2 linked regions of the Macaca mulatta genome follow. The protein of the gene in region 1 purifies or fractionates together with the protein of each later gene. This does not show direct contact. Links are inferred from orthologs where the notes say so. Each region holds a gene or a part of one and is shown on either strand. Other genes may lie near its edges. The genes, in order: CDK7 and GTF2H4.

What was found.
Region 2: the proteins of CDK7 (region 1) and GTF2H4 purify together in Homo sapiens (affinity purification with mass spectrometry; 7 studies listed by BioGRID and IntAct, with this or other methods). This does not show direct contact. The link is inferred for Macaca mulatta from reciprocal best matches to the Homo sapiens genes CDK7 and GTF2H4.

The regions. Positions count from the first base shown.
Region 1 is NC_133411.1:77,322,242-77,326,050, forward strand, and holds part of CDK7 (cyclin-dependent kinase 7), read left to right. Parts: intron 1-2,227; coding exon 2,228-2,338; intron 2,339-3,809. UniProt on the Homo sapiens protein: Serine/threonine kinase involved in cell cycle control and in RNA polymerase II-mediated RNA transcription. Cyclin-dependent kinases (CDKs) are activated by the binding to a cyclin and mediate the progression through the cell cycle.
Region 2 is NC_133409.1:152,144,240-152,148,485, reverse strand, and holds the start of GTF2H4 (general transcription factor IIH subunit 4), read left to right. Parts: upstream 1-1,346; coding exon 1,347-1,483; intron 1,484-1,744; coding exon 1,745-1,849; intron 1,850-2,237; coding exon 2,238-2,369; intron 2,370-2,955; coding exon 2,956-3,052; intron 3,053-3,143; coding exon 3,144-3,232; intron 3,233-3,448; coding exon 3,449-3,560; intron 3,561-3,721; coding exon 3,722-3,790; intron 3,791-3,972; coding exon 3,973-4,056; intron 4,057-4,246. UniProt on the Homo sapiens protein: Component of the general transcription and DNA repair factor IIH (TFIIH) core complex, which is involved in general and transcription-coupled nucleotide excision repair (NER) of damaged DNA and, when complexed to CAK, in RNA transcription by RNA polymerase II.

The sequences.
Region 1 (3,809 bases):
TTTGTATTTTTAATAGAGACAGGGTTTCGCCATGTTGACCAGGCTGGTCTTGAACTCCTGACCTCAGGTGATCTGCCTGCCTCAGCCTCCCAAAGTGCTGGGATTACAGGCGTGAGCCACCTCGCATGACTGGAACAGCTGGAATTCTTTTTCTTTTCTTTCTTTCTTTTTTGGGGGACGGAGTCTCGCTCTGTTGCCGTGGCACGATCTCAGCTCACTGCCACCTCCACCTCCCGGGTTCAAGCGATTCTTCTGCCTCAGCCTCCCGAGTAGCTGGGATTACAGGTGCCTGCCACCATGCCTGGATAATTTTTGTGTTTTTAGTAGATACGGAGTTTCACCATATTGGCCAGGCTGATCTTGAATTCCTCACCTCATGATCCACCTGCCTCAGCCTCCCAAAGTGCTGGGATTACAGGCGTAAGCCAGCATGCCCAGCCCCAACAGCTGGAATTCTTATACACTGCTGGTGCGAAAGCAGTGAAATGATAAAGCCACTTTGGAAACAGCTTGGCAGTTTCTTATACAATTAAATACACACCAGCCAAATTAAAGCAAAAAAAGATTTCACACAACACATTATCAGAAAGTAATAGGAACACACTAAATGCTCAGACTGGTGGTGATTGAGTCCATAGCCTATTGTGATAGGTCCTTCCAGCATCAGTACCGTTAGTATTATGATCTATAATAGCATCACTAATATTGTGATTGATAATACTAATCAATAATCTTGTGATCTAGCAATACCTCTGCTAGGTATTTATCTAAAAGAAAGAGGCCGGGCACAGTGGCTCACACCTATAATCCCAGCACTTTGGGAGGCTGAGGCAGGCAGATCACCAGAGGTCAAGAGTTTGAGACCAACCCGTCCAGCATAGCGAAACCCCATCTGTACTAAAAATAAAAAAAAAAAAATTAGCTGGGCGTGGTGGCAGGTGCCTGTAATCCCAGCTACTTGGGAGGCTGAGGCAGGAGAATCAATTGAACCTGGGAGGTGGAGGTTGCAGTGAGCCGAAATTGTGCCACTGCACTCCATCCTGGGTGACAGAGTGAGACTCCCATCTCAAAAAAAAAAAAAAGCCAGAATTCAGTTGGTACACAGATGTTGGGCTTTATTAATAATTGTCAAAACTGGAACAATCCAAACATCCCTCATTCTGACTGTACAAACAAACTGAAATACTACTCAGGTATAGAAACAAACTATTGATAACTGCAACAACATAGATGAATCTGAAATGCGTTATGCTAAGTGAAAGAAGCCAGGCTAAAAAGACTATGTATTGAATCATTTCATTTATATGATATTCTGGAAAAGGCAAAACAAAAGGAACCAGAAACCAGATCAGTGGTTATGGGAACTTTGGGGTAAAGGAAAGAAGTAAGTACAGAGGGGCCTCAGGGAATTTTGGGAGGTTACGGAACTATGCTTTGATTATAGTGGTGGTTACATGACTGGATGCATTTGTCAAAACGCATGGAACTATACACTAAAAAGGGTATGCTTTACCTTAAATCTGATTTTAAAAAAAGAAAAGGGGAACTTTTAGTTCCTAACTGATAAATCTAGAAATAAACTGACATTAGGCACAGCTCACAAATAATGCCATCAAAACTCAGTCTTACACTTTAACTCAGCTCTGTTTTCTTCTCTGTTGCCTTCTTCATGTGTACAGTTCTCAATATGGTGTTCCAGATACTTCTAGGTATATGTTTGTAGAGTTTAATAATACCTGAGGAATGAAAGTGCTTTCTTTTCTTTGATTCTAGCACACTTGTCTTGTATCCCTGAACCAGTCACTTGGCCAGGAGACTGCAGTGTGATAATGGGGATGCCTGGGTCATGTGCCTACCTCTGGAGGCCTTAGGTTGGCTCAGTCCTACCTTAACCATGTGGACTAAGCTGAGAAGAGATGGCTTCCCAAAGGAACACTAAATGCTATTGTTAGAAGCATTTAGAAGATGCAAGCAAAAACAACAGGTGTTTGCTACTTTCATGCGAAAGCAGTAGAGGACAAAGTACTGCTTTCTTTCCAAACCAGAAATGCTCTCCCTACCCATCTAACTCTGGAGATTCTGACAGTGCTTCCTGAGGAAACTTAGATAACCTCTCTTGAGAGTCTCCTGTATTGATACTTATATTTTAAGTCTATAAATTGTTTTATATGGTAGAGTTTATTTGAAATAATAAAGGGTACCCGTATATTGTATACTTGCTTTACAGGTTATAATAAAGGATAATAGTCTTGTGCTGACACCATCACACATCAAAGCCTACATGTTGATGACTCTTCAAGGATTAGAATATTTACATCAACATTGGATCCTACATAGGGTAAGGTTTTTAATATTGCTTCTTTATAGCAGTCAAGTTTTATAGAGCCAATTTAGTACATAATGGCCTGAACATGTAAATTGTTTAACAATATGAATTTATAGCTGACCGTTTTATCCCATCTTTTACCTATATATTGTTCTCTTCAGTTGTTCCAGCAGTTGGTGCTGTGAGGACTCCATATTACTATGTGAAATTTAGAACTAGAAGAGATCCAGTCTTTCTTTTTTTTTTTTTTTTTTTGAGATGGAATCTTGTTCTGTCACCCAGGATGGAGTGTAGTGGCACCATCTTGGCTCACTGCAAGCTCCGTCTCCTGGATTCACGCCATTCTCCGGCCTCAGCCTCCCGAGTAGCTGGGACCACAGGCGCCTACTACCATGCCCAGCTAATTTTTTGTATTTTTTTAGTAGTGATGGGGTTTCACTATGTTAGGCAGGATGGTCTCAATCTCCTGAACTCGTGATCTGCCCGCCTCGGCCTCCCAAAGTGCTGGGATTACAGGCGTGAGCCACTGTGCCCAGCCCCCTCATTTTTTTTTTCTTTTTTTTTTTTTTTTTTGAGACGGAGTCTTGCTCTGTCGCCCAGGCTGGAGTGCAGTGGCATAATCTCGGCTCACTGCAAGCTCCACTTCCTGGGGTTCACACCATTCTCCTGCCTCAGCCTCCTGAGTAGCTGGGACTACAGGCGCTCGCCACCAAGCCTGGCAATTTTTTTTTTTTTTTGTATTTTTAGTAGAGATGGGGTTTCACCGTGTTAGCCAGGATGGTCTTGATCTCATGACCTCGTGATCTGCCTGCCTCGGCCTCCCAAAGTGCCAGATTACAAGCATGAGCCACCACGCCCAGCCCCGGCCCTGGCCCCCTCATTTTATAATAGACAAAGAGCTAAGTTGCTAAGTGACCTGGCCATGGTTATTTTTTTTTTCAAGGTTAGCTGCTGATAACAGACAGAGTATTAAAACATGGGTTTTGGCCCAGGCGCAGTGACTCACTTCTGTGTTCCCAGCACTTTGGGAGGCCGAGGCAAGCAGATATCTCGAGCCCGGGAGTTCTAGACCAGCCTGGGCAATATAGTGAAAACTCATACAGAAATTAGGTGGGTGTGGTGGTGCACACCTGTAGTCCCAGCTGCTCAGGAGGCTGAGGTTGGGGAATCACCTGAGCCCAGGAGGCGGGGGTTGCAGTGAGCTGAGACCTCACCACTGCACTCTAGCCTGGGTGACAGGAGTGAAACCCTGTCTCAAAAAAACAAAAAAGAAAATAAGTCTTTTGGCTTTAAGTTCAGTATTCCTTGCGCTACAATGTTGTGGGGGGAAAAATACAGTTATAGTGATTGTCTTGGACTAACTCATACAATGCCAAAATACAACTAGAAAAGTAATGTTTCTTGTAGCTCTGAAATTCAAGGTACAAAATACAGTTTATGAAATAGTGGGAATATTCAGCTTTTAGAACAAAGCTGATGATTT
Region 2 (4,246 bases), on another chromosome or scaffold:
GGGATTTCACCATATTGGCCAGGCTGGTCTCGAACTCCTGACCTCGGGTGATTCGCCCGCCTCGGCCTCCCAAAGTGCAGGGATTACAGCAGTGAGTCACCGCGTCCGGCCCGGAGTGTGCATTATCCCAATTTTACGGGGAGTAATTGTGCTCACGGAATCCAGTTTTGTGGTCCCTAAGTCTAATCGGTTCACCACCAAGTCGCCACAGCGCGCCTCCGCACGGAAGCCCTCCAGGCACTTCTACTTTCCCCGACCCGCCTCCCGCTCCATCGGGTTACATGCGCCGTTAGCAGCGTGGGCGGAGTTGGTTCTGGCAGAACCAACTGGTCCGGCTTCTGGTGTCTCCCGCTCTCTCAATTAAAAGCCGGCTCCTTGCCTTTCGGCTTCCCCACCGTGCCTTTCGGGATTTGTAGTCAGACGCACTTCAGCCGGCTCTAAGGAGAGCAAAGACAAGACTCCAATTCCCAGCATCCCCCGCGCCGGGAGTGTGCATCGTCTATTCTAATCCTCTTCACTTTTCCACTCCTCCCCTTACCTCCCTTCTCTTCTGAATTCTCCATTCTGGGCTCTTGCCTGTGAAATCTTTCGTCGCTTTCCCCATCTTTTCTTCGCATTTTTTCACCATCTTTCCCTCAGTTTCCAGGAGCCAATGCGAGACTTTGGCTCCGATTAAGCGACGGCCCGAGACTCGGGGTGCGCGAGGAGGATCGACAGAGTGGTGAGGGGACCTAGGAGGGCGGGAGTGGGAGAGGTATGAGAGAGACAGGTGAGTGAGAGGCGAGGAGTGGGAGGAAGGCAGGGAGAAGCTAGGAGATCGGAAGGCGTGGGTCAGGGTGAATGGGGTGAACTAGACTTGGGAAGGGAAAAGAGGTGGCTTTAGATTTGGGAAGCATGGAGGGGAGAGGTTACCGCCGTACTTAGCAGAAGTGGGCTAAGAGATAGAAGATAGGAAGTTCGGGTAGATTTGGAGCTTATAGACTGATCTGACCAGGAGGGATGGAAGAGAGAGGTGTGGGCTCAATTTTCTTTGTCTCTGTTTAGCCGAAGATGAGACAAGTCATTGAAATACAAAATGATCTTGCAAACACAGGACAGTTGACAATTCTGTCACTTGGAGCAGAGGAAAGACTGGAGTTGAAGGGCAGAAACAGGGTGAGGAGGCAAGAAAGGGATGGAGATTGGTCAGGTTTTTGAGAAACCAGAGGAATTGAGTGTCATGGGAAAGGAGGCCACAGAAAAGGTGGGGTTATTGTGGGGACTCATGGATCTGGAATCAGAAAGGTCAGGGGTGACACTGGCATGGATGGTGGGGGTGCGCTTCTGATGTCTGCATTCCTCAGGTGATGGAGAGCACCCCTTCAAGGGGACTGAACCGAGTACACCTACAATGCAGGAATCTGCAGGAATTCTTAGGGGGCCTGAGCCCTGGGGTATTGGACCGATTATATGGGCACCCTGCCACTTGTCTGGCTGTCTTCAGGTGAGGATCCCCTTCATGGCAGGGAAATGTAATGGGGTCTGCGGACTGGAATAAAATATAACAGATAAAAGTGTAGCAGGCTGGGGTAGGGGTGGGGACTCGGGGTGCGGCTTGGAAATTGCTCCAAAGTGTGGGGGCCAAAACAGCAGGACTGGTAAAGTTGTGGTGGAGTGAGATGAGATGTTTGAGAGTTAATTGAGGGCAGAGATGCAGATACAATGCAGCTTCTGATATTAACCTTTGACCTCTGTCCCTGTTCAGGGAGCTCCCATCCTTGGCTAAGAACTGGGTGATGCGGATGCTCTTTCTGGAGCAGCCTTTGCCACAAGCTGCTGTAGCCCTGTGGGTAAAGAAGGAATTCAGCAAGTAAGTCTCAGCCAGATACAAATTTCTCAACAGCTACATTTCCCAAACTACTGTTCCTTGGAGCACTTCCAGGACGTATTAATAGGTATATCACAAAACTTAAAAATAAATACATTTGGGAAACTCTGCATACTGCCTTTTCCCTTTTATTTATTTCCCAGCTGACCTCTTGCTTTCAGATGTATCTTCCCTCTTACAGAGTTATGTGTGATATCTGTAATAAGGCTCTGATAGGTAATGCAGTAAAGAATTTGTCTTCAGATACTAATATCACTCTGTGGAACAGTGTTCCAAGGATCAGCAAGTTCAGAACAGGCAGAGAGGTGGCTTTTATGGTCCTCCTTTTTGTTCTCCAAATACCCTGCTCACCTCTCTGCTTCTGTTCCAGGGCTCAGGAGGAAAGTACAGGGCTGCTGAGCGGCCTCCGGATCTGGCACACCCAGCTGCTCCCAGGCGGGCTCCAGGGCCTCATCCTCAACCCCATTTTCCGCCAGAACCTCCGCATTGCCCTTCTGGGTGGGTATGTCACTTCTCTCTCTTCCTAAGCTAGGGCAGGGGAACTGCTGCTTATTAAACCGCTAATTACAGTTTGGGAGGGGGAGCTCCTGGGGGCCTCCCCGGAACCTTGTGGTCTCCACGTTGGGAGCTCCTTTAGGAGTAAGTTGGATCAGCTGCAGTGTGTGGTGTAGGAAATGTCCCCCACTCATGGCCCCTGAGGATAAGGGTGGAAAGATGGCAGAAGGGTGGCAAGGAACACAGACAGGGTTCCTTACTCTTTTTTTGTTGTTTTGTTTTGTGTGTTTTTGAGACAGAGTCTCGCTCTGTCACCCAGGCAGAGTGCAGTGGTGCGATCTTGGCTCAATGCAGCCTCCACCTCCTGGGTTCAAGTGATTCTCCTGCCTCAGCCTCCTGAGTGACTGGGATTACAGGCAACCACCAGCTAATTTTTTGTATTTTTTGTAGAGATGGGGTTTCACCATGTTGGCCAGTCTGGTCTCAAACTCCTGACCTCAAGTGATCCGCCCATCTTGGCCTCCCAAAGTACAGGGATTACAGGTGTGAGCTCCTGGCCAGGGTTCCTTACTCTTGGCCCATCCTGGCCTTAGGGGGAAGGCCTGGTCTGATGACACAAGTCAGCTGGGACCAGACAAGCATGCCCGGGATGTTCCCTCCCTTGACAAGTATGCCGAGGAGCGATGGGAGGTAAGCACTTGGGACTGTGTGTGTCTCTGCTTGTGCTTCTACTTCCCATGGCCCTTGGGGCATGGTCTCCCTGTTCTCTTCTGTTCTTCAGGTGGTCTTGCACTTCATGGTGGGCTCCCCCAGTGCAGCTGTCAGCCAGGACTTGGCTCAGCTCCTCAGCCAGGCTGGGCTCATGAAGAGGTGAGGAAACCGGAGGTATAGCAGCTCTCTGCAGTGCCATCTCCTTGGGTCCCTAAGAAATGGTATCTGCGGCTAGTCAAGCTCAGAGGACATTAGCTGGAAAAGGCAAGCTGAGTAGAATACAGCCAGAGATACAAAGAAAAAATGTGAGCGGACAAGTGGGGGTAGTAGTCTTTCTCTGCATATCACCGTCATTGTCCCGGTCTTTGTCTGTAGTACTGAACCTGGAGAGCCGCCCTGCATTACTTCCGCTGGCTTCCAGTTCCTGTTGCTGGACACGCCGGCTCAGCTCTGGTACTTTATGTTGCAGTATTTGCAGACAGCCCAGGTGAGGACGCCGGGGCCACTTGCCAGCATGCTCTGCTCCTCTCAGGTCTCACTGAGAGATTCCTGCCTACAGACTGTTCCCTGATTTTCTCTTCTCTGTCCCTTTCTTCCCATTGTCTCCCTCCCATCCCTCCTCCTTTGTCTCTGCCTCTTTCTCCCTAGAGCCGGGGCATGGACCTAGTAGAGATTCTCTCCTTCCTCTTCCAGCTCAGCTTCTCTACTCTGGGCAAGGTAAGCAGGGGGCTGAAGGGTATAGAGATGGGAAGGAAAAAGCAAATTGTGGGGCAGTAGAGTGAGAAGATAAGAATGAACACAGAACGAGCAGAGGTGGATGGAGAAAGACAGAATGAATGATGGGGTTGGGGGTGGGTGGGTTGTGTTTTGGACCCCAGCTGGAAACCTCTGTTCCTCAGGATTACTCTGTGGAAGGTATGAGTGATTCTCTGTTGAACTTCCTGCAACATCTGCGTGAGTTTGGGCTTGTTTTCCAGAGGAAGGTATGAGCGCCTAGATGAGTGGCTTCCAGGGAAGAAACAGGGTGGTGTGTTGCCTTCGCCTTTAAAAAGGAGTGGGGTCCCGGGGAAGTAGCAGGAAGCAGTTGCCAGAACTGAATACTTGGGTCTCTTGGGGGAGAGAAGTTGGAGGTTGAGGTTCTGCATCTTGGGAGGGATCTGATATTTCAGGCAG